Saccharomyces cerevisiae S288C: one gene and its partners. The protein of the gene in region 2 purifies or fractionates together with the protein of the main gene of each other region. This does not show direct contact. Each region holds a gene or a part of one and is shown on either strand. Other genes may lie near its edges.

The links.
Region 1: the proteins of CEF1 (region 2) and HSH155 purify together in Saccharomyces cerevisiae (affinity purification with mass spectrometry, with the first as the bait; 4 studies listed by BioGRID). This does not show direct contact.
Region 3: the proteins of CEF1 (region 2) and PRP11 purify together in Saccharomyces cerevisiae (affinity purification with mass spectrometry; 2 studies listed by BioGRID). This does not show direct contact.
Region 4: the proteins of CEF1 (region 2) and BRR2 purify together in Saccharomyces cerevisiae (affinity purification with mass spectrometry; 4 studies listed by BioGRID). This does not show direct contact.

Annotation. Positions count from the first base shown.
Region 1 is NC_001145.3:842,691-850,886, forward strand, and holds HSH155 (U2 snRNP complex subunit HSH155), read left to right. Parts: upstream 1-2,880; coding exon 2,881-5,796; downstream 5,797-8,196. Other genes in the region: DSS1 (exoribonuclease II), read right to left, coding at 1-2,655; aminodeoxychorismate lyase ABZ2, read left to right, coding at 5,995-7,119; ATP-dependent RNA helicase HAS1, read right to left, coding at 7,384-8,196. UniProt on the Saccharomyces cerevisiae protein: Contacts pre-mRNA on both sides of the branch site early in spliceosome assembly.
Region 2 is NC_001145.3:688,590-695,653, forward strand, and holds CEF1 (Cef1p), read left to right. Parts: upstream 1-4,791; coding exon 4,792-6,564; downstream 6,565-7,064. Other genes in the region: MGL2 (putative carboxylic ester hydrolase), read left to right, coding at 1-276; DML1 (Dml1p), read left to right, coding at 494-1,921; EFR3 (Efr3p), read right to left, coding at 2,106-4,454; SCJ1 (Scj1p), read left to right, coding at 6,761-7,064. UniProt on the Saccharomyces cerevisiae protein: Involved in pre-mRNA splicing and cell cycle control.
Region 3 is NC_001136.10:373,455-379,504, forward strand, and holds PRP11 (spliceosome assembly protein PRP11), read right to left. Parts: upstream 3,027-6,050; coding exon 2,226-3,026; downstream 1-2,225. Other genes in the region: FAD1 (FMN adenylyltransferase), read right to left, coding at 1-154; MTF2 (Mtf2p), read right to left, coding at 513-1,835; NAD-dependent histone deacetylase SIR2, read right to left, coding at 3,303-4,991; peptide alpha-N-acetyltransferase complex A subunit NAT1, read right to left, coding at 5,420-6,050. UniProt on the Saccharomyces cerevisiae protein: mRNA splicing factors, PRP9, PRP11, and PRP21, are necessary for addition of the U2 snRNP to the pre-mRNA in an early step of spliceosome assembly.
Region 4 is NC_001137.3:529,010-539,868, forward strand, and holds BRR2 (ATP-dependent RNA helicase BRR2), read right to left. Parts: upstream 7,013-10,859; coding exon 521-7,012; downstream 1-520. Other genes in the region: TFIIH/NER complex ATP-dependent 5'-3' DNA helicase subunit RAD3, read left to right, coding at 1-409; RAD24 (Rad24p), read left to right, coding at 7,291-9,270; monothiol glutaredoxin GRX4, read right to left, coding at 9,425-10,159; TMT1 (trans-aconitate 3-methyltransferase), read right to left, coding at 10,455-10,859.

The DNA of each region.
Region 1 (8,196 bases), 150 kb from region 2:
CGAATTACGGCTAGCCCTTTTTAAAATATCCGCTCGAGATTGAATTGGCCAGATCAAACTGTCGATTTGTGTTTGATTAAAACATAGAGGCTTTTTCTGCAAATGACGGTGAATTTGTAGATGATTTATCAAGTCTGGAAAACGACGAAGAGGGGATGTTACTGTCAAATATTGTTTAGCTCCAATCATTTCATGTCTAAAAGGTCGACCTGTATAAAAACTCGAGTTCAACAATGAAGAAAGCTTAACGATATCTTTTAGCTTGGGAAAAATTCCTTTTTTTGTACTTGTTATCATAGAATCATACTGTTGTTGTGCTACTTCGCCCAGTGGTAACTGTTTATAACATCTGAACACACCACCGATTTTGTTCTCCGCAAAATATCTACCCGTTAAAGTATTCGCCAAGATCATCATTTCTGAAACCAAAATGGTAGACAGCGTCTCCTCTTGATCCGAAAATGTTACCTCAGTCAGTTCTCCTTCTGAATCGGCGTTTAGCATCACTAGGCCCTTATTAAAGCCCTCCCCGAAAATAACAGCATTACTGTTTTTTATACGTTGTTCTCTCAATAATTTGGAAATCATGGACAAACTTTCCAAATCCTTTTTGACAGGTGATGCTTCGCTATTGGGTGTACCGAGTATCCTGTCAACATCTTCATAAGTGGCCTTTGGGAAGTTGGACACAATGCCTTTCCGGATTTTAAAACTGTCATACATAATTTCAATTGATTTTCCACTGCATTTAGAAGTGATTTTAACATCAACAGAGAAGGATATAGTTTTCGTCCTTTGTCCTTGTTTCCCCAAATCTGATAAGTGACAAATAGATTGAGGTAACATAGGAACAACCGTATCTGGTAAATATGTGGTAAATGATCTTTTCAAGGCAACATTTAGGATATCTGTACTTATACCCTCAATATCAACATTAGTGCTTTCCGGAAACATAGAAGTTGGATCCGCAATATGAATATATAAAGTGTACAGTCCATCTCTACCATAGTTTTTCACCGACACGCCGTCATCAATCTCATGCGCAGTTTCAGAGTCTATACAAAAAACCCTAAGATCGCCAAAATCGTACCTATCGTCATCAGTGCCGGATTTTTTCCATTGCAATTCTTCTATATTAGTTAAGTCGTAGAGTTTTTGTTGCCATTTCACTAACTTCGAGGAAGCAGGTAATGCTAAATCCATGTTAAGTAACAATGGATTGGGTATTGAGTTGGGTGTTATCTCATTGATTAAATCTTGACATATATCTCTTGTGATGTCACAATCCTTATAGCGTTCTATCTTTCTGAATATTTTTGAGATCAAAGCTACTATAATTCCGTTATTGTGAAAATTCCCAGCAGCAAAATCTTTCAATAATTGGATCACAGAAGGATATAAAGCTGATATATCGCGATATTTCCTTTCATTCACCAATTTTACAAACTTATTGACCTCTCTATAACTGTTGGCTTCTAGCTTCTCTATCACCTGCGCATAATATAAATGTTGTGATTTTAAGGGAATAATCGTTACTGATATAGGCGACAGCAACGCTGTATTCAGATGGATTTCCCCCCAAAGGTTCGATTCCTGTTGTTGCATAATCGCCCAGTACGTGGAAACAAAGGTAGGTGAATTTATTGGTATATCGTTTACAGTGTGATAGTTATTAACTAAACTAGTTAAGTAATTTATTCCATTTTTATCGTCCAAGGCTTTATTTAAATCCAATTTCTGAACTAATCCGACTAGGGTAAAAAAAGGAATCTGCCATGGACCCATATAATTTTGTAATGATCTGTGGAGTAACTGTAATTTTTTGGTAGTAATGGGCAAATCTTTCCAGGCCAACTTTGAAATTTGGGCTGGATACCTACTTGTTATTAGCTGCCTTGCTACAATAGGCAAAATATTCGTTTGGTTAGAAAAGTTCTTAACGGTTCCAATTGGCAAATGTTTGTGATGGCTCTCAGGCTGTATAAGTGAATGGATTCCAGCAGGTAATTTGTGAGGAATCCTCAATAACACCCGGTTTTTGGTCGCAAAGCACATAGTTCCATCAATAGTAACAAAAGTGTATCGAGGATCCATAGTGCTACTTGGAAGACTTACACACATCGCCAATTCATTGGGTCTCATTTTTAAAAGAACAAAGTCACCAACATTTAAGGGACTTTCCATTAGCTGAACAGGTTGAAATTCCATTGGGTTTGGAGCTTTCAGTTTTGTTATTAATTGAAAATCTGAATTTATTAACTTGTAAAGCGGAATTTTTGGTTTTGTTAAAGACCTCCAGGAGTTTACGTACCAATCTTCGGAAGGTTTAACATACCTATCTTTATAACGTTGGTTAAATTCCTGTTTAATTTGAGGCAGTTGTTTTAATTCAATATCAGGCTCTAATCCTTTTGTTCGTTGCAGAAAGTCTTTGTTTATTGATTCTATATCTTTCTCCGGTCCAACCGAACGGTCTACAACTGTCTCTGTAGCTTGATCATTATCTAGCTCTCGTGTGTGATCTAGTTCTACTTTTGCTTGCTGCTTACTCTTACTTCGCTGTCGTTTGCCTCTGGTAGTTACTCTGAAGCAAGGTGTGTAGGAATGAAAGCTCCTTGCAATTAGAAGAACATGTACTTTCCGCCTAACTACCATCACCTGTCTTTATTTATTCCGCTGACAGATATGCACAACCAATTATCGTCTCTTGAAAGCTTTTTAGACGTGATTGCTGTTATTTGGCACGTTGTTAGTATTTAAGCTTATTCGGGTTTGCATTGATATTTGCCCGAGCAGAAATCTCCTTCTCGATGAGTTAGAACTGAAACATCTCTTCAATTACTTATACATAATAAACATAGAAAGCCAGGACCTGTCATCATGAGTCATCCGATTCAATTTGTAAACGCTAATAATAGCGATAAGAGCCACCAATTAGGCGGTCAATATTCTATTCCTCAGGATTTGAGGGAAAACCTGCAGAAAGAAGCTGCACGTATTGGTGAGAACGAAAAAGATGTGCTACAGGAAAAAATGGAAACTAGGACAGTGCAAAATCGAGAGGATTCATACCACAAAAGAAGGTTTGATATGAAGTTTGAGCCGGATTCCGATACACAAACTGTTACGTCTTCAGAAAATACCCAAGACGCTGTCGTGCCAAGGAAAAGAAAATCTCGTTGGGATGTAAAAGGGTACGAGCCACCTGATGAATCTTCAACAGCGGTCAAAGAAAACTCTGATAGTGCTTTGGTTAATGTAGAAGGAATCCATGATTTGATGTTTTTTAAACCTTCTGACCATAAATATTTCGCCGACGTTATATCCAAAAAACCCATAGATGAGTTAAATAAGGATGAAAAGAAAGAAAGAACCCTGTCGATGTTACTTCTGAAAATAAAAAATGGCAATACAGCGAGTAGGAGGACTTCTATGCGGATTTTAACCGATAAAGCTGTTACATTTGGTCCAGAAATGATATTTAACCGCTTATTGCCCATATTACTAGACAGAAGTTTGGAAGACCAGGAAAGACATCTAATGATCAAGACCATAGATCGCGTCCTTTACCAGCTAGGAGATTTAACAAAACCTTACGTTCACAAAATACTTGTAGTAGCTGCCCCATTGCTAATAGATGAAGATCCAATGGTTCGTTCAACAGGCCAGGAGATAATCACCAATCTGTCTACAGTCGCTGGCCTAAAAACCATTCTAACAGTAATGAGACCTGATATTGAGAATGAGGATGAGTATGTTAGAAATGTAACTTCAAGAGCGGCGGCTGTGGTGGCAAAAGCCCTTGGTGTTAATCAATTGCTTCCTTTCATCAATGCAGCATGCCACTCACGGAAGTCTTGGAAAGCAAGGCATACTGGCATAAAAATTGTGCAGCAAATAGGTATACTTTTGGGAATAGGTGTCTTGAATCATCTTACTGGGCTGATGAGTTGTATCAAAGACTGCCTAATGGATGATCACGTTCCGGTGCGAATTGTTACAGCACATACTTTATCAACACTAGCAGAAAATTCTTATCCATATGGTATCGAAGTTTTCAACGTTGTACTGGAGCCATTATGGAAGGGTATAAGAAGTCATCGTGGTAAAGTGCTATCTTCTTTTTTAAAAGCTGTTGGATCTATGATCCCATTGATGGACCCAGAGTATGCCGGTTATTATACCACAGAAGCAATGAGAATAATTAGACGTGAATTCGACTCTCCCGATGATGAAATGAAAAAGACCATTCTTTTAGTATTACAAAAATGTAGCGCTGTAGAATCCATAACGCCAAAATTTCTGAGAGAAGAAATCGCGCCAGAATTCTTTCAAAAATTTTGGGTCAGACGAGTGGCATTGGATAGACCATTAAACAAAGTTGTTACATATACTACTGTTACATTAGCAAAGAAATTAGGTTGTTCTTATACCATTGATAAATTATTAACACCATTGAGAGATGAAGCTGAGCCGTTCAGAACAATGGCTGTCCATGCTGTTACTAGAACAGTAAACTTATTAGGGACAGCAGATTTAGATGAGAGATTAGAAACGAGGCTTATTGATGCGCTCTTGATAGCATTTCAAGAACAAACAAATAGTGATTCTATAATCTTTAAAGGGTTTGGGGCAGTGACGGTGTCACTTGACATCCGTATGAAACCGTTTTTAGCACCCATTGTGAGTACGATTTTAAATCATTTAAAGCATAAAACTCCCTTGGTTCGTCAACATGCAGCAGATCTATGTGCCATACTAATACCAGTCATCAAGAACTGTCACGAATTCGAAATGTTGAATAAATTGAACATTATATTGTATGAATCCTTAGGCGAAGTATATCCAGAGGTATTAGGTTCTATAATCAACGCTATGTACTGTATTACTAGCGTAATGGATTTGGATAAACTACAACCTCCTATTAATCAAATTTTACCAACCTTAACTCCAATTTTAAGAAACAAGCATAGAAAAGTCGAAGTAAACACTATCAAATTTGTTGGACTTATTGGTAAATTAGCACCTACCTATGCACCTCCTAAAGAATGGATGAGAATATGTTTTGAACTATTAGAACTTTTGAAAAGTACAAATAAAGAAATAAGAAGATCAGCAAATGCCACGTTTGGATTCATTGCTGAAGCAATTGGACCTCACGATGTTCTTGTTGCGTTATTGAACAATTTAAAGGTTCAAGAACGTCAGTTACGTGTATGCACGGCTGTTGCTATCGGTATCGTTGCTAAAGTGTGTGGTCCTTACAACGTGCTGCCAGTAATCATGAATGAATACACAACACCAGAGACTAATGTTCAAAACGGTGTTCTCAAGGCCATGTCATTCATGTTTGAGTACATTGGTAACATGTCTAAGGATTACATATACTTCATAACACCATTATTAGAAGATGCACTCACCGATAGGGATTTAGTTCATCGTCAGACAGCGTCGAACGTAATAACCCACTTAGCTTTAAACTGTTCAGGTACAGGTCACGAAGATGCCTTCATTCATTTAATGAATCTTCTAATACCCAATATTTTTGAAACTTCACCACATGCTATTATGCGTATTTTAGAAGGTTTGGAGGCACTGAGTCAAGCTCTTGGCCCTGGACTATTCATGAACTACATATGGGCAGGATTGTTCCATCCAGCGAAGAATGTAAGGAAAGCATTTTGGAGGGTGTATAATAACATGTACGTAATGTACCAGGACGCCATGGTACCTTTTTACCCCGTTACACCAGACAACAATGAAGAATATATAGAAGAACTGGATTTAGTTCTGTGAATATATATAGAGCATATAAATAACCACAACTTGTAAGAATATTTTACTTGACACACCTATATCATCACGTCACGATGCCTTCATAGATTATGATGAAATATAAACAGAACCTGCTATTGGAAAAAAAAGGGCAGGAAAAAATTTTGTGAAAGTGAGTAAAAGAAAGATGAAGAGCGAGACATGGATAATAAGAAATAGATGTCACTAATGGACAATTGGAAGACTGATATGGAAAGTTACGATGAAGGAGGCCTAGTTGCTAATCCGAACTTCGAGGTTCTGGCCACTTTCAGGTACGACCCTGGTTTTGCACGCCAGTCAGCGTCAAAGAAAGAGATCTTTGAAACTCCAGACCCTCGATTAGGTTTGAGAGACGAAGATATTAGGCAGCAGATAATTAATGAGGATTACTCAAGTTATTTACGAGTAAGGGAGGTTAATTCCGGCGGTGACCTTCTCGAAAATATTCAGCATCCTGATGCTTGGAAGCATGATTGCAAGACCATTGTGTGCCAGCGTGTAGAAGATATGCTACAAGTCATTTATGAACGATTTTTTTTATTAGATGAACAATACCAAAGAATAAGAATAGCATTATCATACTTTAAAATTGACTTCAGCACGTCTCTGAATGATTTATTGAAGTTATTGGTTGAAAACTTGATTAATTGTAAAGAAGGAAATTCAGAGTATCACGAAAAAATTCAAAAAATGATCAACGAAAGGCAATGCTATAAAATGCGGGTACTTGTCTCTAAGACAGGAGATATACGAATTGAGGCAATTCCAATGCCTATGGAGCCTATCCTAAAATTAACAACCGATTATGACAGTGTTTCCACATACTTCATCAAAACGATGCTCAATGGATTTTTAATTGATAGCACAATAAATTGGGATGTTGTTGTTTCATCTGAACCATTGAACGCATCAGCTTTCACCAGTTTTAAAACCACTTCAAGAGATCATTACGCTAGGGCGAGAGTTCGCATGCAAACTGCTATAAATAACTTAAGAGGTTCAGAACCTACTTCTTCTGTCTCGCAATGCGAAATTTTATTTTCCAACAAATCTGGCCTGCTGATGGAAGGTTCAATAACAAACGTGGCTGTAATTCAAAAAGATCCTAACGGTTCTAAAAAGTATGTGACACCAAGATTAGCAACTGGATGTTTGTGCGGAACAATGCGTCATTATTTATTGCGGCTCGGCCTTATTGAAGAGGGAGATATAGATATAGGAAGCCTTACCGTTGGCAACGAAGTTTTGCTTTTCAATGGCGTCATGGGATGCATAAAGGGAACAGTGAAGACAAAATATTGAGCAGACGACAGATTTTCATATCAATGAAGTTTTTTTACAATAGTTTACAAATCATGATTTTACATACTCAAATATGTGCAGGTTGATACAGACAACGTACGTAGAAGACAACAAACAGAAAACAGCGGTTTATACATTTATTTAAATGACATACAGTGGAGAAGCAGAGAAAGGAAAAGGAGTGCGATGAGAACAGAAGATGAATACTTCGGTTGTGTTGGTTCCACGTACACATTAATAGCATTAAAAATTGATCCTCTGAAATTACTTATGAGTTTTACGTCTTTTGGTATTTGGCGTTTTTCCACTGGCACCAATTGTAATGTTAACCTTTGGAGGGACTGGAAAACCGTAAGACTTTGCTACTTTGGCTAAATCCAGCTTATCGATTTGATAGACAGTTTTCAAAGAGTGGGAAGCGTACGCTTGTAAATAAGATCTATAACCATCCTTGGCTGTTTGATGTAGATAATAGTTGGATTTAATTAATTTTTCTAATTGTGATTGAACGTTTGCAATTTTGTTTTCCGGGAATTCGTACTCATTTAATGGGACCTTGGAAGCCTTTAGATATCTTAAAAACCCTAATTCATTAGGTGTTAAAAACATTAAAGATTTACCCTTACCTTTAGTGCCTCTTGCGGTTCTTCCGACTCTATGAATATAATCTCTTGGATCATCAGGAGGGTCGAATTGAATGATCCAGTCCACAGCAGGGATATCTAGCCCTCTAGCTGCGACATCTGTACAAATCAAGATACCTCTTTCCGCATTACAGAATTCGAAAAATGTATTTGTTCTCTTTTGTTGTTTTTGCTTACCGTGTAATTCGAGGACTGGCAAATCAATATAGTTCAATAATTCAGCGTAATATTTCACAGAGTTACAAGATGATAAAAATACAATAATTTTCTTTTTTTGATTTCTTTTCAAGAAAGAAAATAACAACAAAAATCTCTTATCACTGTCACATACCACATAGCCTTGTTCTAATCCATCTGCGGTGGAGTTGTCGGTTTCAGGAACGACATTAATGAAAAGAGGGCCCGGTCTCAGCGAGATTCTAGCCAAATCCTC
Region 2 (7,064 bases):
TTGCATGCTCAGGATGACCCAATTGTCGGAGGTGATCTTCCTATAGACCAAATAAAATCCAATCCATACACTTTGCTTCTAGAAACTTCGACGGGGGGGCATGTTGGATGGTTCAAAGACAGATCCGGCAGAAGGTGGTACGCAGAACCCTTATGCAGATTTTTGAAAATATTTCACGACGAAATTACTGTAAAGGGCTTAAAACCTGACTTGGAAAATGTTCAACTCCCAGATCCTAATTGCGAACCCATAGCCACAACCTTTCGCGCGAATTAGTTTGTAAATAAGTCAACTTTTTAGATGTGTAACCTGATAATTTTTTTTTTTGATGTTCGACATCATTATTTCTGAATGAAAACGTGAAAAGCTTCGCCAAACTTAAAATGGAAAATTTCGAATGGAACAAAATATAATCGATGCGATGAATTAAAACCTTGGAAGAAGAGGGTTAATTGTTAAAATTACATATATAATTGGCAGACAAGAATAAAAAATGCATGAAGTAGTAACGATATCGGTTTCGCAGAGAGCAAACCATTTGACTACTCAATTCTTCAATATACAAGAGGGCTATTTACAATTGTCTAAAGAACAACAAGTCAATGACTCCAAAATTTTTCTGAATTCGGTTGTAGATAAAGTTTCAAAAACAATTTCATATGCACCACGTGCCTTACTTTGGGATGCCCGTACAGGTAATGGTTCACTAGGAACATATCAATATTCAGAAAGCCAAGACTATCATTTCGGCAATGAAGACAAATTCAAGGAGCAAACAGTTATAAAGACTCATCCAAGAATACCTAAATCCGAATATCAGAGTTCTCTAGATGCAGGAGCACCGCTGCCTTGTTTGAACAGAGAAAATACGATGTATTGGTCTGACTATTCTAAACTTATCTATGGTCCTTCAAGTTTCAATATTTTGAGAAATTGGTACCATGACACTGAAAATCCAAACCAACCTGACTTTCAAAACTTGGGGGAGCGAAAGTTTGACAGGTATTCCATTGGTTATGACGAATTTACCGAAAATTACTTGCAAGAGTTTTTTGATGGAAATTTGCATAGAGAATTGGAAAAATGTGACACCCTGCAAGGCTTCAATCTTGTAAGTGATATGGAGAGTGGATGGGGCGGGTTTTCTAGTGCTCTACTGGTGGAATTAAGGAATGAATTACCTAAAAAGGCGGTCTTTTCATGGGGACACAATGAAGATGATCCATTCACAGATGACTTCCCTATGAAAAGACTTTCAAAGAAATGGCTCCCGATCATTTCGAACAAATTAAGAAGCACAATAAATATGATGCAAGAATCCGATCTTTACTTCCCATTGTATGCTGCTCCTGGACTAACTAATTGGGAAACTGCTGGAAAGAGCTGTAGGATATTTGATTCTATAAATGCGACAATTTCCCAAAGCAATCTTGAACAAAGAAAGACAATGGATTATCTAACAACTGCCATTACCTTAGGATATTCGTCGCGAAATATGGTCACTGGCATGGTTATCGGTGACACCGATTACTCATTCTGTTCTCGAGTACTTCCTTTCAAGAATAGCCACAAACCAAATTCTACTCACATATTTTCAAAAAGTTTCATTGATAGAGGAAATCAAACGCATAAACATCATTCCGAACCTGATTCACGGAGTAAGATGATTGAAATGTATACACACAGGTATTTTCCATCTGATACGATACCGACAGAATTTTCCAATGATCGTGAATTTGTTTTGGAATTAGAATCATCTGAAAAAAATCGAGATATATTCAAACATTGGAATGAGTTTGTGGTAAGGTACTTCAAAAATGATAGTGACAGAGAAGAATTGAAAAATGAACTTTCCGATTACGCCTCAGCGTACGAATCTGGGTGGTATGAAGACGAAGATTCTGGTGATGACGATATGTGATAAGCAGTTTGCAGCTACGTATTTCCTTTCTCCAGTTGAGGCAAACAGGACTTCTTCCATCTTTTTCGAAGTTTTTACTTCGCCATTTGATCTATATCTACGTAAATTACATTAATTAGAAAGTCATGCTATATCACTCTTGCCCTTGAAAGCATCCACAGCTGTCCGTCAAAAACTTAATTTCTCAAGTGGAGGAGAAAATTTTACCTCTTGAACTTAAAGAATGTAAATCTTCATTTGCGTCTTTAAAGTCATCGTTTTGATTTTCACCAGTTGCTGTTTTTTGCAAAAAGGATTTTCTATTTCCAATGCTACTGCGATCAGAAAGACTAGATATTGGTGCAAGTCGCAGAGAATTTGATCTAGCAACGTCGATTTTATCCAAGCCAACAATATTCTCCTCATCAGGATCTTTGATTTTATTCGCGTCATCTGAAAAAGTTTTCAATTCATTTAATAAAAATGTGATATTAGTGACACGAGATTTCACTGATTGAGAACCCCGAAAAGAGCCATCTCTTTTCATATTATTTGGAATATTCTTTTCATTCATAGTTTTTTTCAAATCGCTAACTTTTGGTGCGGTGGCTCTCATTGTTTTCCATGATCTTGCGTCCTCAGCAACAAACCTATAGATACTACCTTTTGCATTAGCATCAGAAATTACAGTATCGTTAGCTTCTTCTATATTGTCATCTATGCTGTTGTCGAATTTATTTTGCTTGGCCGCAAAATCGTTGTTATCATACACTGCTTTCCCATTTGAAAAAATAGCATTAGGGACATTCTTGTACTCCAGAGGTGTAGTACGAACTTGAGAGTCCGACAGTAAATCAGAAGTAGAAATTTGATTATCACGAGACAATAAAATCTGCGCCCCCTTCTTGCTGTATTTATTTGATCCAGTATCAGAATAGTATGACAATAAATCTTCCTTGGTAAACAAAGTTCTAGTTTGCATTTTGTACTCAGTTTGTGACTTGTAGTCATTGAGTTTTAAAAAGTTAGCTGCTTGTAAATGGTACGAATAATAGGTATACTCAGGCTCAGAAACGTTCTCTAGAAAATAATTCAAACCGGATAATAGTGCCATTTTTCCATACTTGTCAAAGATCTCTTCCATCATTTCTTTTTGCACACCATGTGAATCCAGTTCACGTAATAATGAGTACAGTTTTGAAAAGAGAATGCTGCTTGGAACCTCAGTTTCAACAATGTTAAATAAACATATAATGTGGTTTTTCATGTAATGCGCCAAGTCGATGAATAATTCCAAACTGATACTTGGCTGCGTAATATGTTCAACGAGGAAATCAATATCTTCCACAACTGCATTCTTTTCAACATCCTTGACGGTGTCACTTTTCAATTTCAATAGTAGTTCATATAACATATCTGAGGTCTGTTCAGCGTAATAAGTTTTATGGTTAAGGTCTGTCATGGTGATACAAGACTGTGCCACAACTTCTTTATTAGTTGCATTTTTCAACTGGAAATTTAAAAGCTTTCTCATTATATCAAGAACACTCAACCCCACTATACTGACATCTGAAACAAGTAATGACGACATCAATTTCAAGGAAACAATTGGATTTACATTTTTATCCTTGTCGCTTAGTTGTCTGACCAAAAGAAGTATAACAATATATCGTAACTGAACAGGTATACCATTGCATACAAACTCTAGCAGTTCCTTATTAGGTGTACTTTGCAGACAGCGCAACAGAGTACGAATAGACAAATTCAATTTGTCTGTCTCAGTTGTGTTAAAATAGGATTGCAATGCTTTTACTGAAAGGTCATGATTATCTTCGGCGGCCTTATCTAACCCAATTGTACGAGTTTGTGTTCGACTTAGCCTTTTTCCTAAATTGCTCTCCAGAGCTGCTTCCAGCGACAAAGTTTTAAATTTCGGATTTCTCTCTTGGAACTTTGAAATAGTATAGGCAACAGACTTGGAAACAAAGTGGTTTAGTTGTGGGTTGCTTGAAACACTATTTGTGTTTGATATATCAATACAGCATTTCAGAAGCATGTCATCATTATGAATTCTTTCAGTAACTATTTTAAAAAAAAGATCAACAAAGTTCTGGTATAACTGGACGAATTCCATGTCACCGTTACACAAGACGTCGTCCAAGTTCTGGCATATACTACTAAATGCCAGTTCTATTAATTCAACAACAGATACATCATTGTTAAAATTGTTGTTGGAAAGAACTTTGTTCATAATGTACAAAAAATCTTTAACAAATACATTCAAATTCTCCTTACAATGCAACACAATTTTGTTCATTAAATCCAATGTAACGGCTATGTTCCCTATGCGCCGATGGTTCAAGTCGGAAGTGGAACGCTTAATCAGGTAAGTGCTAACTTTCTCCAATTTACTACGCCTCGAGTTAACGTAATATAGCAAATATGAAGTTTCCGAAGATTTAGGCTTCTTATCTGTGGTCCTTCCCGTAGGATAACATTGATTGACCAGTTTCTGATGTTTTGGTGTGAACATCATCCGCATAGACAACTGCATCGCAAACCACTTTCAGAACAATTGAAAATGAACGAAAGATGAATAATAGAGCGAATGATCTGGGTTCAATATACAGTCTGCCACTGAATTAATACTACTCCAATAGCGGGGTTGCTCACAATACTTTCAATTTATCCTGGCTGCCTGGCTTTTTCAACAAAACCATTACCTTCCTAGTAGTTCGAACAAAATTTTCTTCCTCTTCCTTTGGCCGGGGTTGAAGTTTAATGAAAAATTAATGCTATGAACTATTATGACAAAAAAGCATATGCGACTCAGGAAGATAGTAAAGAAAAAAAGCAAAACATTTCTAAGAGGACTATACTAGCATTTCAAGATGCCCCCCGTACCAATATACGTGAAAGGCGGTGTATGGACCAATGTGGAGGATCAGATTCTTAAAGCGGCTGTACAAAAATACGGAACTCATCAGTGGAGCAAAGTAGCATCCCTTTTGCAGAAAAAGACTGCCAGGCAGAGTGAATTAAGGTGGAATGAATATTTAAATCCAAAGTTGAATTTTACAGAGTTCTCGAAGGAGGAGGATGCCCAACTTCTAGATCTTGCAAGAGAGCTGCCTAATCAGTGGAGGACCATAGCTGATATGATGGCCAGGCCTGCACAGGTCTGCGTCGAAAGATATAATAGGCTATTAGAAAGTGAAGACAGTGGAGGGGCTGCGTTAAGTACAGGAGTTACTGACTTGAAAGCCGGGGATATTAATCCTAACGCTGAAACTCAAATGGCTAGACCAGATAATGGTGATTTGGAAGATGAGGAAAAGGAAATGCTTGCTGAAGCTAGGGCTCGTCTGTTAAATACCCAAGGTAAGAAGGCTACAAGAAAGATTAGAGAGCGGATGCTCGAAGAATCAAAACGCATTGCTGAACTACAAAAGAGGCGTGAGCTAAAGCAAGCAGGAATTAATGTTGCCATTAAGAAACCGAAAAAAAAATACGGCACCGACATTGATTACAATGAAGATATAGTATATGAACAAGCTCCCATGCCAGGTATATATGACACGTCCACTGAAGACCGCCAGATAAAAAAGAAGTTTGAGCAGTTTGAGAGAAAAGTCAACAGAAAAGGTTTGGATGGTAATAAGGATAAGCCAAGTAAAAAAAATAAGGACAAAAAAAGAAAACACGATGAGAACGAACACGTTGAGAAAGCAGCACTGGGTGAATCTACTACATTGACGGATGAGTATAAAAAACCAAAACTTATACTATCTGCACCAGGAACGAAACAGGGAAAAGTCACCTATAAAAAAAAGCTAGAAAGCAAAAGACAAAAACTAATCGAGGCACAAGCAACTGGCACTGTGTTGACACCAAAAGAACTACTACCCCACGACTCCGGCCAAGAAGATAATGAACGCAGTAATATAAAGAGTGGTAAACAGCTAAAATCACGCATACGAAAATTTTTAGTGCAAATGTTCGCATCTTTGCCTAGTCCCAAGAACGATTTCGAAATTGTATTAAGTGAAGACGAGAAAGAAGAAGATGCAGAGATAGCGGAATACGAGAAAGAATTTGAAAATGAAAGAGCGATGAATGAAGAGGACAACTTCATAGAACCACCATCTCAAAATGATGCGCCACGCGTCTCATTAGTAGCCGTTCCATTAGCTTACTCAACGCTACCCATACCAGAATTCAAAAACAATCCGCAGTCCGCGATTGACAATAAGTACAACTTGCTAGTCGCGAACGCCATAAACAAAGAACCTCACATGGTACCAGAAGATACGGTAGATTTTCTCAAAGAGGTGGAGTCGCGTATGCAGCATATAACCCAAGGGCGCACTTCCATGAAAATACAATTCAAAACAGCAATGCCCCCAACTGAGGTTCTTCTGGAATCGATCCAATCAAAAGTGGAGTCTATTGAACAGTTACAGCGTAAACTACAACATGTGCAACCACTGGAACAACAGAATAACGAGATGTGCAGTACCCTCTGCCATCACAGCCTGCCCGCTTTGATTGAAGGGCAACGCAAGTACTACGCTGATTACTACGCCTACCGACAAGAGATACGATCGCTTGAGGGTCGTAGAAAGCGTCTTCAAGCCATGCTAAATTCTTCTTCTTCCATATAGCATTAGTATAGCATTAATATAACTTTTATGAACTAGGACATAGAGGACTTGTGACAACGCATTACCCGGAGTTAGAACGTTTTCTTGCCAAGTTGGCCACATCGGCAAACCAGCGATGGTAATAAGATGTAGTACTGACAAAACATGGTGGATAGGCCAGAAGAGCGTGCATTGGCTGGCGAAAAGATCGAGGACAATGATTCCAAAATTATATATACATTTGATACTATCTTTATTGTTGTTGCCGCTAATTTTGGCGCAGGATTATTATGCAATACTAGAGATAGACAAAGATGCCACTGAGAAGGAAATCAAATCAGCGTACAGACAATTGTCTAAGAAGTACCATCCGGATAAAAATGCTGGGAGCGAAGAAGCCCATCAAAAATTCATTGAAGTCGGCGAGGCATACGATGTATTGAGCGATCCTGAAAAGAAAAAGATTTATGACCAGTTTGGTGCAGATGCTGTAAAGAATGGCGGTGGCGGTGGCGGTCCAG
Region 3 (6,050 bases), on a different chromosome or scaffold from region 2:
GTGGACTCCAACGTACAAAAATTTCACTTAGTAAGTATTTTCTTGTCAACCGTATCGCTTCTTGTGTACTTGCTATTATCTGAGATTTCTGGTCTATGTGTAAGTAAGAGTTTGTTATCTCATAACACATCTCAGCAGCCTTGCTCAACTGCATATTGTGCTCCCCTATTTGTTTATTACTTTTTGCAAATGTTGCCCTCTATACCGAGAAAGTAATATCAGTTTTTTCCACTCTCAGTCAACAAAATCTTTCGAAGATTTTTCGAGGTTCTTTCTATAGACGGATCCTTAGGTTCTTGCTAACCAACGTGTTGTATATGAAACCCATCTCCAAATTTTGAGCTCTTCCCATCCTTTTGTTTCCTCGGACTCAATGAATTTGAAATCTGCCGAACAAGCTAACTAAAAAATAGGAAAATTGGAACAGAAGTTAAATGCGAGCAGGAACGTTTATTAGCGCTTTTAAGTCTAACACATATATATAACACTATTTACAAGGTTTGAATAATTTTCTACCTGTCTCTAGTTAAATTTTTTTTGAGGCTTTTGAGATAATTTTCAACAATTAGTAAGTCATTATTCGTGTCTTTATTCCATAAAACACCTACATTCACTATTTTATTTGCGCTGGACGAAACTTCCTCATCTGCACTGAGCTGTTCTCCTGCTTCAAGAAAGACATCCTCATTTAAACTTCTCATTTCTTTGACAATCTTATCCAATATATCCACGGTTTCAATATTTCCGATGACACCATTAACGCTCATCTCGGTAACCACACGTCTCAAGTAGCGAATCTCCTGGAAGTTTTCCCACAATAGCTGAACCAGCAAATTGTAGAAATCAACATTACAAATTGTTAGGTACAGTGAAGCGTCCATGTTGTTTTTACATTCATTATAAACATAGGAGATCAATGTGTACTTTCTGTCTGCCGGGAAATCAAAGTCACCTAATCTAAGCGATTTGACTATAATATATGGTAAAGTCATTGCAAGCGGTTTCGGTAGTTCTGCCGGTTTATTTATACACGCACTTCTAATGTCTTCGAAAATGTTTGAAGATTCTGCATTCATCTTTAACTCTAGGTCTTTGTTCCTTTTCTTGTAAATGTCTAGTGATTGCTTTAGGTATCTTAAAAGATCGTAATCACTTTTAACAGCTTCCCTCAAGTAGTCAATGTGAGGTTCTAAAACCTGATCCAGTGTGGTTTGGTACCGAATCTTATTACCAATTTCTTGCATCACTTCCTCGCTAAATTTGACGTTGGAATGTGCAACTGGCTGCCTCAAAGCTTCCATTCCCGAGCCCTTGCGCAGATTAAGATTCAGCAATTCTCTGTTGCTTTTATTAATGCTATTATCTTCGTCAAATATCTTTTCCAGCAAAGTTCTTGTCTGCTCACTTATCGTTTTAGTGCTAATAGCAGAAGGTTCTGCCCGTTCGTAGACATAGTCATTGCCTGCTGTTTCCTTCAGGAATTCATGGTCCTTATTTGGAAGCTTCCTTTGAGCTCTTTGACTGTGGTTAAAAACAATTTTTTCTTTTTTTACACTAGTTCCCTCGGAGTTGTCCTGTAGCCCATTGTAATACTTGTCAATTATTTTGCTAGCATTAGTGTGCCTCATGTTTTCAACCCTTGCTCCAGCTTCGAATAGTTCTCCAAATACCTTACGTTCCTCTTCGAGAGCTTGTTCAAATGTCTTTTCATTTGAAACTCTTTCTACGTTGTGAGTTTTTCTATCTTTCAAATTGGCTTCATTCAGCAAGCATCTATGGATGCAATGTATGTATCTATAGTTACAGTTTTTTAATATAGATGATGTTCTGATCATTGTATGGCGTGTTGTACTCTTCCTTAGTTCCCTCTTCTTCCTTTACAATTATCTCTCAAGTATAGCAAGCGTTGTCACATCACAGTTTTCGGCCTTGTTCGCCTAATTACATTTTTCTGAATAAATACGTATGTATGCTGCGAGTACTAGATACTGTTGATAAATGGTAACATAAATACTCTAGATCGCAAAAGCGCATGGAAGTTGAGCAGTAATATAATTTTAGAGGAATATGGTTATTATACTCCCTGAGAATAAGTGCACATTGGATGGGAAAATTTCGTAAAAAAAACTCTTGTAAAGACAATTGTTTCCTTAATAGCTATTATATAATCCAATTTGGTTAGAGTTTTGTATGCCGATTATTAACGTTACCCAAAAATAATACTGTCATACATCGGCTTGTTCTTGTTCGGCTTGTTTAAAGAAAAATTGAACGTAATAAAGTTTTGATATAGCATCCCAAAATGTACACTTTTTATTTAATTCATCTACTCCATCGTTATTATTGTCCATGTCATTGTTTTCGCTGAATAATATTTCGTTTGGAGGTAGCTCAATAGCAATATTTTCAAAGGGTTCATACGCAATAACGAGAAATTTTTTTCCCTTCTGTTTGGTATCTGATAGCTCTAAACCAGATACAATCCTAATGAGAGGAGGGACTTTAGCCTTATCATCGCTATCGACACTATTTTCTTTGACTTCACTGCTATAATTTACCTGGATAGCCAAACCTACTGAACCGTTCTTCGGGTTTTTCACGGTAGCTATTTTACAAACAGGGATCGTACCGTTATTCTTTAAAGATTGCTTAGCTTCAATTATCTTTTGTTGTTGTCGGAAATCATGAGTTGTTTGGCCTTCTCTCCCTAGAGAACTTTTCTCTATACTGATACCACGCCTTAACACATTTAAACCATGTTTTTTACCACCCAAATGCCTTTCAACGCTGGACCACGACATGTGCATTGTATTACATAGTTTACAAACCAGTTTACCGGAATGATTCTTGTAAATGTACGGATTGGACCTTACTTGATCGTCCTTTTCATCTTGGAAAGTGTACGGGACATTTTCGCCTTTACTAAGTAATGATTCGACTTCTTTCCTTCGTTGTAAGTTAAACTGAGATTCTGAGGCTATACCACCACCTCCTTTCTTTGACCCAACGCCTTCTAAATAGTTCATTTTGAATGTATGGATGCGTTAAATGATTTGAATTTGCTGTTCCACCTGCCCTTCTTACATTAAGCTATTTGTGAGAGCCTTGCGTCTTTAGCAGATTTTTTTTTTTCATTTTTTTAGTGAGATGGGCGGTACATGTAATATTTCACCCGGTACAATGAAAATAGCAGAATGTAAATAATATTTGACTACAATAATTGAAAGGAAAACAAAATTGTTTGCCATACTATGTAAATTGATATTAATTTGGCACTTTTAAATTATTAAATTGCCTTCTACTTAGAGGGTTTTGGGATGTTCATCTGATGTAACGACATACACGCCCTTATCCTTCTCTTGGCATTTAAAGTTCTTGTTCTTCAAATCGTTCCATTTCTTATGCGGAATCGTCCAGCCACATTTTTGGGCTACCATAGCTGCAATGTCATCACAGTACCCCAAAAGAGATAAATCAAATTCTGCGTGCTTGACGGGATCACGATTAATCAGGACTTGGGGAACGTGGGAAGGAACCATGTTTACGATTTCAGACACTGGCGCTACTTTTAAACTTGTCCCAATGCAAATCAACAAATCACATTCTAAGATATCTTCGCGAATGCTCTTATGAAATTTATTTGGCAGTGCTTCGCCAAAGAATGTGATATCTGGTTTGAGAACGCCATATGAGTTAAGGATATATGGAGGCCTTTCCGACATTGAACCCTGTGATGCAGCAACACCTACTTTATTATTATATCCCTCTGGGAAATATTCTCTTCTTTTTTTGTAACAGTACGGGCATAGTGGAAGTTCGAGGTTTCTAATTTTATTAAATATCCTCTCACCGGGTAGGTTCCAATGGCAGGTAACGCAGGTGGCAGTAGCAAAAGAGCCATGGCACTGCACCAGTTTATCTGTGCTTATTCCCGCATAAGATTCCAAATTATCAATGTTTTGAGTATAATTTCTCAATAATTTCCCTTTCATTTGTAGCATCTTAATGAAACTATGCAATGGAGAATAAATTTTTTCTGGAGGTAAAACCATATTGGCAATATTATAGAAAACAGAGGGGTCGTGCATAAATATATTGTAATTGAAAACGTCTTGGGGATCATCGAGCCCCAAATGTTTGATCTTTGAATAGAACCCCTCAGAAGATCTGAAGTCCGGGATCCCTAATGAAGTTGAAACACCTGCACCAGTCAGGACCAAAATTTTTCTAGCGGTATGTAATTTTTGAATAAAATGATCAATAGTGAAAAAATTGGATAATCTTAATCTTGTACATAGAACTTTGTTAATTGCTCTTTGCAAATCTTTGATTAGACGAACTGTTTGCTTTTTTGCCAATGGGTCTTCAACATTTGTGACAGATATTGCACTTCCCAAATCTTGAACACGCTCTTGCGAGTTGATATGGACAATACTGTTGATGGTGCCGATAAGCGCTTGATCTTTAACTTCAAAGCCTAGCAACTTGATAAGATAGTAAATGTATAACGAGTTCAAATCCTCGGGGAGGTAAGTGTCTAAAAATTTGTGTGCACCATAGTATTTCAGAAACATTCGAGCATTGAGAGACTCTCGTTTAGTGAAGGAGGGACCATAGAAAATACCATTTGATGGGTTTTTACTGATTATGATTGGCCCCTTGGGCGTCTCTGGTTTCAAAACGTCATTGGACATTGACACTACTGAAGCTGCTGACACTGCCAAGGGATCCATGTCATTAGTTGGTTTGAGCTCCATCGATGCCACTTCTCCGAGCGCAGCTTTAGTGTGCCCAAGTGGATCTGTTGTGTTGGTTTCCCTCAAGGAATCCGGCTGTGCTACTTTTATCTTCTTATGTGAAGGTTCATCATTATTTATAATGTCATCGGGTTGTTTTCTGATCGCGTCTTTATCTTGTGTGGGGCTTACTGTATTTGAAACCTTATTTTCGCTAGTCTTTGATACGGCGTATTTCATATGTGGGATGGTCATCCAGCTTTAATGTGCCGATGAGGGAAAAATGGTTTGAATGTGTCTACCGAAGCGATGCCTAATTTCTTGAAATACGTGAGAATGGGCTTTACATCTCTTCACTAAATATATTTTTCTTGGGTGGTGAAAAAGACAAGTCTTTCAAACTATGCGACCTAGAAAAAAAATATTTTACCGCAACTGGCGGCCAAAGAGGACAAAGAAAAATTCCTCGTTTTTTCTCTGAGATGGGAAAGCAAGAATTTTGGCAAGAAAAGGTCCTGGCTGTCCTGGACCATGGTTGGAAGGAGTGCTAGATGTAGCTTGGAAAAGAAATGACCTATAACAATGTATCTTTTATGAGCATATGCGCATGCATATAAGCATATACATAAAAAATATATACATAAATTAAGTAAGAGTTAATTGACACATTGAGGAGTTGCAGGCTACAAGTAATACTGTAGAATTTCGTTCTGGGAGTGAGGCTCCAAGGGAGAAAGACTGCTAATAATCATTTCTTTCAAATTAGAGCTTCCGATCGGAACATCATCGCGATAGCGATACAGAAATAGCAGGCCATTTATATCATTCTTACCGAATTTTTCTTGGTAGAAATTCAGCCAATCGAAGCTATTGTTAGATATTTCGTTTAATGGGAAATTTTCAGAATACTCTTTTTCAAGGCTCTTCGTGACTACTTTCTTCAAAATTGGATCAAAGGGGGTGTCGTTTCTTGTGGCATGTAACAAAACAATGGCCATACTACCAAATAAACCGCTCGTGGTGCCAAATCTCTTAGCGAATTTGTTTAGAGAAGCAAAGCACAAAGCTAACTTTCCAATTCTGTAGTTAAATTCAAAGTCCAAAATATAATCCCTTTCGTCTTCTCTGACTTGCATGGAGTAGTTATTATAAAATTCGGTAGCGAAGTCCTCCATTGGAGTGGAGGTTTCAATCAACTTTTCGCCGAATACATCGTTATCTTGATCACTCGGATAAGCAGCAACACTCTTGGCTTCAGTTTCTTTCCGTTTGTTCATAGCGGCTGCTTCCTTCTTAGCTTTTTTCTTTTGGCTG
Region 4 (10,859 bases), on a different chromosome or scaffold from region 2:
GGAGAACTATCGCATCAGAGAAAACGACTTCTTATCTTTCGATGCGATGAGACATGCAGCTCAATGTCTGGGGAGAGTACTGAGAGGGAAGGACGACTATGGTGTAATGGTACTAGCAGACCGTAGGTTTTCAAGAAAAAGAAGCCAGTTACCAAAATGGATTGCTCAAGGTTTGTCTGACGCCGATTTGAACCTTTCGACTGACATGGCCATATCCAATACCAAACAATTCTTGAGAACAATGGCACAACCCACAGACCCTAAAGACCAAGAGGGTGTATCTGTTTGGAGTTATGAAGATTTAATAAAGCACCAGAATAGCAGAAAAGATCAAGGTGGATTTATTGAAAACGAAAACAAAGAAGGAGAACAGGATGAAGATGAAGATGAAGATATAGAAATGCAGTGATGCAATGATACGCTTTTGCTATAAACTGTATATATCACAATTAGATTAAATAGCCGCAAGAGAATGTTATATATTGAAATCCATTCGATTATCCAGGACTAAACAATGATTTTATTTCACATTTATTTCAAAGGACAACTCTTTATCTGCGTCAAGATATGAATCACAGACACACCAAATTGTTAAGTTATGTTTACCAGATGTCGGAGTGTCAAATTCCAATTCATATTGCTGAGTCTCTTTATTTAAAGTAACTTTCTTGATCGCATAAAGCTCTTTTTTAGATACTTCACCTAAAACCAACCACCAACTTTCTAGCTTATCAAACGGATACTTTTCAGATGTTACTTGTAAGTTCTCAGGTTCAACATCTCTTGTCAATTGAATGGTAATTTTCTGTTTTACACCTGAAATTAACGAATCAGAATTATTCAACGAATAAGTAAGTTCAACGTTGGGGTAATTGTTAACAAACGCGGCGACCTGCGCAAGCTGTGAATCAGTAAGCGTTAAAATTTCATCCCTCTCTTCATCCTCAAGGGCCATTATATCATAGACCGTCTCGACGTTAATTTCTTTACATTTTTCCAAAATTTTGTTGTTGAAGTGTGGAATCTGTCTCAACGGATTATCAACGTCCCATACACCCTGAATCAACATCTGCGCCAAATCCATGGCGGTAGTAGCATTCAAATACCCGTTTGCTGAAAGGATATCAACCACTACGTTAATTAGTGGAACAACCTTTTCTAGAATGTCTTTTAAATCATTTTGAAAGTCGACAGGTAATTCAAGACGTGAAAAATATGCTTGTAACAATAAGAAAACTTTAAAGCTCACCGAACCAGAAGAGGTGTGTTCAGGGAATCTCAATGGTAGTCTTTTACTTAATTTGACAAGTAATGCTCTGTCTCCTTTTCTGAGTGGAACACTTTCGAATTCTACTGCTGTTGAAAGAACATACAGCATGTTTTTGAGCGTTGACGTATTCGATAAAGAAGAAACGAATGACTGAATAGTAAAAAATGATACGCCATAGTGAGAAGCAATTAGCCCGTTGCTCAAGGTAGAAATGATTTCAGTTGCTTCATCATCTCCTCCATTAACTTCTGCGGTTACTTCAGCTTCTGTATCGTCAATTTCAATGAAGGATGATTCAACTAAGTCATTCAAACAAGTTTCAACTAAATTACTCAAAAAAACTGAAATTCCATGTGGAGACGTATCCCTTACGCCATAATAGCTTGGATTCACATGGATACGACGATAGAAATACGAATATGTAAACCAGTCAACACAATCTTGTTTGCTTTGTATAATAGAATTTGCTATCTCGTTGTTCAGAGTATCATGAATAATATACTGTAGGTAACTCTCAGTAGGCAAAGGCTCAATTAAGAATTTTTTGTAGTAGGCCTTCATGTTGTGACTTGTCAAAATTAAAACCTTGCCTGCCATTGAATCGTTACCACTAGCTAGTCCCACCATTTCTAGAAGTTCATTTATGGTATATGGCATATATTTATGCTCTGCACCATCATAAAGGTTGGTTCCTAAAATAATCACTTCATCAGTTTTACAAGCGAATGCAGAACAATCCTTAGAAATGAGTAAAACCGATACCGCACCATATTCGTATAACCTTTTCACAATTCTTTCATCATTTGATGCCATCCCCTTATACAAAATACCAACACCGTGTTTTAAAGGTGCTCTTAGATGACCATCTGTTAACTTTTCAATGTATGGTACAATTTGCTCTTCTTCAACGTTCAACATATCCCATTCAATTGCTTTTGAAAACTTCATAAATGCAGACGCAACTTCCATACAATCCTTTCTAGATGGTAAGAACACCGAACTGGAATTACGATTTCCCGCTGCAGCAGCAGATGCTTCAAATGCCATTTGAAGCATCGAAAAATTGAATGATATGTGCTCAACATCTTTAAATGACTGAATATTAATTTCAAGAGGCTCAATTCTTTCGCTTGGAGAAAAGTTGTAGATGTTTGACTTCGTCATACCAGCCCATTCACCAAAATCACGAGCATTTGCCAAACAGTTCGAAAGGCAAACAAATCGAATTTTCTTTTCAAGTTGGGTTGCTATAAATATCATTCTAGAAATTAGCGTTTCATACACAGCACCGTAAACACCTTGGCTAATCTCATGAGCGTCATCATATATCATTAATTCTAAACTTTGGATGTTCTTCCTTTGTCTCCAACGACGTGACAAAAGCTCAAATTGCACGGGGGTAGCCAAGAGAACATGGCTTTTTGCTAATAATTTTAAATTTAGTGAAGGATCATTTCCTAGCTTATTTATTATCTTACCACCAGCAAGATGAGAGAACCTTTTATTCCAATCAGATAGCAAAAAATCAATTTTTTCCCCAGACGGATTGATATAAACCGCTCTTCCTTTATTCTGTCTCCAATGATTTAACAGTGCTAATTCAGCCATAGCTGTTTTACCTGTGCCCTTTCCTGAACCTACAAAGACCGAGTCATTCGAATTGTAGAGAGACTCGAAGACCTGGCTCTGAATCTTGTTGAAAGTTTTAAATTCAAATACTTCGGAAAAATCATCATTGCCAAGCTCTGATGTTGAAATACTAATATTCTCCAGAAGGGGAGTAGGAGGAGGAAATTTTTTCGGAAGTTTAAATCCATTGAAGGAAACTGGAATCTCGAATTCACTGTGCCACCAATTTTCTGATATCAAAGTAAGGAAGAAATTAGGTGGTAAGTTATTTTGATTGTGCTGCTTTAACTCATAAGTAAAGGATAAGGTAAATTCATGACCAACTATATCTGGAGTGATGAATAGTACGTCATAATAAAGTATTGAATCACCATCAGTGTCTTCTAGCATGAGCAAAAAAGGTTCAAGGGAACCGTGTACATTCATATCCCATATCCAGTCGGCTATTATTTCAATGTTGAACCTCATAACGCTACGGGTAATTGGCTGAGCGTTGCATGTTACGGACATTTTGGGAAATCTTTTCAATAAATCGTAAACCTGTTTTCCATATTTTTCAGATCTGATTGCACGACCAACTTCGGCAGGTGTTTCTAGCTGTAGATAATCTCCCCACGGTACTGTAGAGGCTTCCAGCCTTTTAATCACTTCGACAGGGCATGTTTTAAACTGTCTTAAAGGACAGTTTGTTGGCCACATTTTAGTTGTGGCAGATTTGCAAAGATTTAACAACATCCGTGTGGGATGTCCCCATCCTCTCTTCAAGCATATTTCAAACATAGCACGCAATAACCTACCAGCATTTTGGTGAATAAACACTATATCAGAATTAAGTGCAAAACCTTCGAACTTTAGCTGGGAAAAATAAGACTGCAGTAGTACATTCACTTTTGCTAAAGGATCATCAATATCTTCTCTGATAGGAATGGGTGCTTTCTCTAGAAGTTGTTTTAGTTCTCTTTTCTCTTCATATCTCACCGATACGTACTTAAACTCTTCCGACATTGAGAATATTCTAAAAAGATCAATCTGAGTTGTATGTTCATCTAACTCTCTATTGTAAACATCCATGGAAGCATGATTTATGTAAAATGACGACGCTATATTTCCTAGATCGGTCGCCTCAATTACATCATTTTCAGCATCATATAACACCAACTCTTGTTCTTTTAAAATGCATAGGGCCGAATGGACTAAGCTTTCTCTAAACTTTTTCAATTGCCCATCACTTGAAATATCAGGTACTTTGTAAAGCATAGGGGAAGCTAACATTCTGACATATAGGTAAGTATACGCCAACCAATTCACAGCATCATTCCTGCACTTAATGTTACCCGCGACAACTTCTGCATTTAAGTTGTCAACTAATTTTGAAACAAATTGCGATTCTATTGGTAATTGTTGATTTAAAACCGAGAGATAATATTGAACATTCGATTGGTCTGTTATTATAATACCCTCGCCAAATGTGTCATATCTCGGTCTGCCTGCTCTACCTAACATTTGAAGTACATCTTGTGGAGAAAGTTGTTCCCAGGACCCCTTTTCAGGTGAATAGACATCTGTTCCTTTTATAATCACTGTATGAGCAGGTAGATTAACACCCCATGCTAACGTCGCAGTGCATACCAATACTTGCAACAACCCGTCTGCAAATAAATCTTCAGATAAGGATCTGTCACTTCTGGTCAGCCCTGCGTGATGCGTCCCTATACCGCTTTCAATCAACTTTCGTAGACTTGGATCGAGTACGTTGGCTGCTTCTGTCTTTAAAATCTGCTTCGATCCTGCATCATTTTTGGTTAATTTATGAGTAATGTTCTCTTCAGCAAATTTATTTTTCAACCATGTTGCTGTTCGTGATGTTTCTTTTCGAGAATGAACAAACACGATTATTTGATTACCTTCATTGATGGATTCCAATACCTTTTCATAACAAGCATCATTCATAGCCTTCAGCTTTTTCAAGGAGTTCCGTTCCTTAATGCCACAAAACTGTTGAGATAGAGGACACGGTCTAAATGAGGAGTCAAAATAAAACAATCCTTCCTTCGGAACTCTTAAAAACCTACCGACATCCTCATAATTTGGTAAGGTGGCAGAAAGGCCTATTATTCTGGGGTATTCCTGGCCATATTTGGAAGCCCAAAATGTCCTAGCCACGATGCTTTCCAATACTGGTCCCCTGTCATCATGTAACAAATGTATTTCATCTATAATCAACAAACGAACAAGTTCTACGATGGCCAAATTATTTGAATTTCTAGTAGTTATGTCCCATTTCTCTGGCGTAGACACCAAAACCTGCGTCTCGTCAATTTGCTTTCTACTAAGCCTAGAATCACCAGTCAATTCAGCGACTTTTATACCTAGAAAAGCCAACCTCCTTTGAAATTCTCGGACTTGTTCCTGTACTAAGGCTTTCAAGGGTGCTATATAAACAATTTTAAATGCAGAAAGGTTTAATTTCTTAGTTTTCGGGTTATAATGATGGGATAAGGCTTTCAATACCGTCAATAACGCGATATTCGTCTTACCTGAACCAGTGGGTGCACATATTAGCATGTTTGAATCACCTTCAAATGCTGCGTGAAAAACCTTTGATTGTATAGGGTTTAAGGACGTTGTTTCCGATGAAGGAAACGCCTCCTGACACCAATCTGGTAGAGAAGTAATTTCTTTCAACTCATAATCAATAACAGGTTTGCTAGGAGCTGGAATATGTATTTCGTCATATTGTGGTTTCACCCTTTTGAATGATCCTTCCGGTAGGGATACTTTTGTCACGGTCATTAATTTAGAACTTTCGTCGAATTTAATCTTTTCCAAATCTATGACGGGCGGTATTGCTGGATTACTGAATTTTGTTCTTTTTGCTTCCGAAGACTGTGGCTGGTCGTCACCGGAATCGAGTTCACGCTTTGAGTGTGTAGTTTCTCTAAATTTATACTGTTCCACAAGATCATTCAAACCTTTTGCAACCATTTTCTCTATTAAGTTCGGTATTTCATTCTCTGTGCTCTTCGCCAGTCGTATGCCCCAAAAAATTGTAGATCTATTCTTGAGAATAAATTCAGCCAGTGATATATTCTCGAATTTAAGCAGATCAACCAACTTCTGCTCCAACGCTACTGGATTATGCTCAAGTGTTTCAATATCATTCAAAATTTTTTCTGACAGGTCTTGTATTACAGAGGTATCCTTGTAACCAAGCTCTGACCGAAGTTTTCTCTGCAAAAAAAATTCATCGATTGAGTATATCGGAACGCTCTCGATATTACTTGTTTTACTATCGGAGAGTTTAATTATATCGTTTTCAATGTTTGGCAATGCCCTCTTGTTTTTTTTTTTAGAATTGACTTCAACGTCATTGTAATCATATTCCTCATCATCATCTTCATTATCATTGATTTCTCCCCCAAGAACATTAGCATTGTTGGACATTTCTGTTACTTCTTCTTCATCTGATTTTTCATCATCGGCAAGAATTGCTACTGCTTGTTTATTGCTATTGTCAGGATGTGTTTCATAATCGGTAATGTTTTTCATAAGTTTAACTAATTCGTTAAACTTCAGGGAGTCTATATTGATGCCTAGCTCATGCTGGATCTTTTCCTTTCGCTCTTCAATATTACCATCCTCATTTTCCTCATTTTCTTTCAATTGTCTGATGAATATATCAGCAGTTCCAATAATAAGATCATGGGGTATATCATTGCCTAAAACTTCTGTAACCCACTGCAAAATCTGCTCGTAAGTTTCGACATTTGAGGGATCCTTTGGATAATAATGTAACCTGAAATCGGAGGAAGAATTCAAAATGGTGTTATGCTGCTGAATTTTTTTCAATGATGCGCTCTTTCCAGTTTTTTCAACGGCTACATCATTTTCTTTTAGTCCTTTATTAATGTTATTGCACAGGCCCTGTCCCATATCCTTAGCACTAATTCTACCACTCATGGATTTTGGTTGTGATATTTCCGCATCCCTTTGAGGATTTTGGCTGGTATTCATAAAGCGTTTATCAACTTTCAACACCTTATTGGACATCTCATCATAACGATAAATTTCTCTAATTTTTTTGGCCTTATCCTTCGTTTCATGCTCAGTCATTTTTAATAACGAAGGCTCACGGTAAATCTTCCAAAGCAATTACTTATATTTACCTTCACCTTATTTTACTCAAGATTATCTCTATTAGTGTATTATTCCTTTATAGTAGACATAGCTTTAGTAGCATAAATTTTTAATATTCTCGTAAAGAGCGACAATATTCAATATTAGATCGTCAAAGAAGCAAACACGCATTGATATCTGAGAGATCATCACAATGCGTTAATAGTACTTGATTCAACACCACTAATTATCAAGTTTGTTCCTGTCTGAATGATATGGATAGTACGAATTTGAACAAACGGCCCTTATTACAATATAGTCTCAGTTCATTGGGCTCGCAAATAACAAAATGGAGCTCATCTAGACCGACTTCGCCAGTTCGTAAGGCGAGAAGCACTGAAAATGACTTTCTTTCCAAGCAAGATACGTCTAGTATCCTCCCAAGTATCAACGACGACGGCGGTGAACAGTGGTACGAAAAGTTCAAGCCCAATTGTTTGGAGCAAGTGGCCATACATAAAAGAAAACTTAAAGATGTACAAGAAGCTTTAGATGCCATGTTTTTACCTAACGCCAAGCATAGGATCCTACTACTGTCTGGCCCCAGTGGATGCTCTAAAAGTACGGTCATAAAAGAACTCTCAAAAATCTTAGTTCCTAAATACAGACAAAACAGCAACGGAACGTCCTTTCGAAGCACCCCGAACGAGCATAAAGTGACCGAGTTTAGAGGTGATTGTATAGTCAACGATCTTCCTCAGATGGAAAGCTTTAGTGAGTTCTTAAAAGGCGCACGGTATCTTGTGATGTCCAACCTGTCATTAATACTTATCGAGGACCTTCCCAACGTCTTCCATATAGATACCAGACGTCGATTTCAACAACTTATATTACAGTGGCTATATAGTTCGGAGCCTCTATTACCTCCCCTTGTTATATGTATAACTGAATGTGAAATTCCAGAGAACGATAATAATTATCGCAAATTTGGTATTGATTATACATTTAGTGCAGAAACCATAATGAACAAAGAAATATTGATGCATCCAAGGTTGAAAAGAATTAAGTTTAATCCAATTAACAGCACTTTATTAAAAAAGCACTTGAAATTTATTTGTGTACAGAATATGAAAATGTTGAAGGAGAAAAATAAATGGAATAAAAGACAGGAAGTCATAGATTATATTGCGCAAGAGACTGGTGATATTAGGTCGGCCATTACGACCCTTCAATTTTGGGCGACATCAAGTGGAAGTTTGCCGATTTCAACCCGAGAATCCACCATATCATACTTTCATGCCATTGGGAAGGTGATACATGGTTCCCATAGCACGAATAACGATAACGAAATGATTAATAACCTCTTCGAAAATTCGAACAATTTGTTATCGAAAGAGGATTTCAAATTAGGAATATTAGAGAACTATAACACATTTAATAAAGGCGAATTCAGCATTTCTGATGCATCATCAATTGTGGATTGCCTGAGCGAGTGTGATAATATGAATGGTCTACCAGAATCCAATGAGTATGGTTTACGAGAAGTGCGCAAAACCTTTCGTAACATCAGTAAACAAGGCCATAATCATGGAACGGTTTATTTTCCAAGAGAATGGAAAGTAAGAAAATTACAAAATTCATTTAAAGTTCAAGCTGAAGATTGGTTAAATGTTAGTCTTTATAAGTACAACGCGGTACATTCTTTCAGGAATATAACTCTAGAATTTGGCTACTACGCACCTCTAATTAGAAAGTGTCAGAGTTATAAAAAAAAATACATTCTCTATTATTTGAAGAATCTTCCGAGTGGCTCCTCGGGGCCCAAACAAACCATGGACAAATTTAGTGATATAATGAAAGTTGAGAACGGAATCGACGTTGTGGATCGGATAGGCGGGCCTATCGAAGCACTATCTGTGGAGGATGGACTAGCACCATTGATGGATAATGATAGCAATAATTGTGACCATTTAGAGGATCAAAAAAAGGAAAGGGACAGAAGGCTTCGCATGTTGATTGACCAATATGAAAGAAATGTGATGATGGCTAACGACGATCTTGAAGACGAAGAAACTTCTTTTAATGATGACCCTATTGTCGATAGCGATAGCGATAACAGCAATAATATTGGCAATGAAACATTTGGTAGAAGCGACGAAGACGAGTCTCTATGTGAAATTCTGTCCCAGAGACAGCCGCGTAAAGCGCCAGTTATCAGTGAGTCCCTTTCAGATTCAGATCTGGAAATACTCTAACTTTTTACTCTTTAAATTTGACGAGAAAACCCCAGGAAATATTCCACACAAATCTATGCACATTACATTCTAGAATAAATTAATAAATAAAAATATATACATATATATTAATATGTATATATGTATGAATATAGTTTTCATTACAAAATAAGGCTTACTGTAGAGCATGTTGGAAATATTCAGGATCTTCTTCTATAGATTCCTTGATAATATCCAAACCTCCCTGGAACTCCCCATTGATATATAACTGAGGAAAAGTAGGCCAATCAGAAAACTTCTTCAAGCTTTGTCTAACGTTTTCGTCTCTTAATATATCAAAAAATCCGAACCTTATTTGGTGTTCTCTGAGGATACCAACTAACTGTCTAGAAAATCCGCATTTAGGTTCTGATGGGCTTCCTTTCATGAATAGCATCACAGGTGCAGCTTGTACTAGCTTCACCAGCCTAGCATTTATTTCTTCTTCAGTTTCGTCCTCTTCATCATCGGAAGACCCGCTGCTTTCCTCATCAGACGTAGATTTAGGACCCTTGGCATTGTTCGCTAGTGAGGCAGAAGCATTCGAAAGAATTTCTAAGCTTTTCACAAACTCCTTAGGATCTGCGGCTGATATTTCTTTTACAATAGTACCATTTTGAATGAAGACGAAGTATGGTACGGCTGCAATCTCAAAAAGGTCTGATATTTCTGGATGTTCGTCTGCATCTATTGATAAAAACCGGACATCCTCTTGCCTAACTTTTTCACTAACAGCTTCTAGCACCTGGCTCATAGTTTTGCAAGGATCAGCCCATTGAGCTTTAAAATATAAGACAATGAGTTTATTAGCAGCGTTTGTAGTGGTTAGTTGCGTAAATTGGTCCTGGCTTTTTATTTCAACCACAGTCATATTTATTGGAGGAAGAGCACAGAAATTTAGTTATATGTAAGTGGAAAAATGAAATATGCTCAGTACCCAAAGACAACAATGTTACCGGGAAAACGAATCAACGTTCCTGGCAGTAACAGATTAAAAAATGGTTCAACTGGTACAGTATTAATATGCTATTTAAGCTAAATATCAACCAGTCTTCAGATATGGTAACTTTTTCTAGGACATCTGTGAATACGTCGCGAGGCTTCACCAATTAAAACGCGCGCTCTTACTAAAATTTCACGAATATAATGCTTATTGGCTGAAATTTTCAGACCCTTTTGCCAAGTTTGTAAAAAGTATTCCAAACAACTTCAATTTTGGTGTTGGTGGAAAGTTCCGGCCTCCTCCTTAGTGACTCTTTAATAAACCAATCTGCTACATCTTCTTTATCTTTGTTCTTTGGATCCTGCTTCCACTGATGGTAAGCGCTCCAGGTTCTGACATAATCTGCAAACTCCACTAGGGTGACCTGCTTTCTGATTAGCAATGGCTTCTTTGTATGCTGGTGGAGTTTTACTTTGTCTCTCACATCTTCTGCACAAAAATATGAAACTTGTATATCATGGAAAAGTTCTGGGTCTAAGTGAGAGTCTTTCAGCATATTACGAAGGCGAGATCTCCCCGGTTGTTCCCAATAGGGTCCCAGTCCTTGCTTCCCGTAAGGAACTTCAAT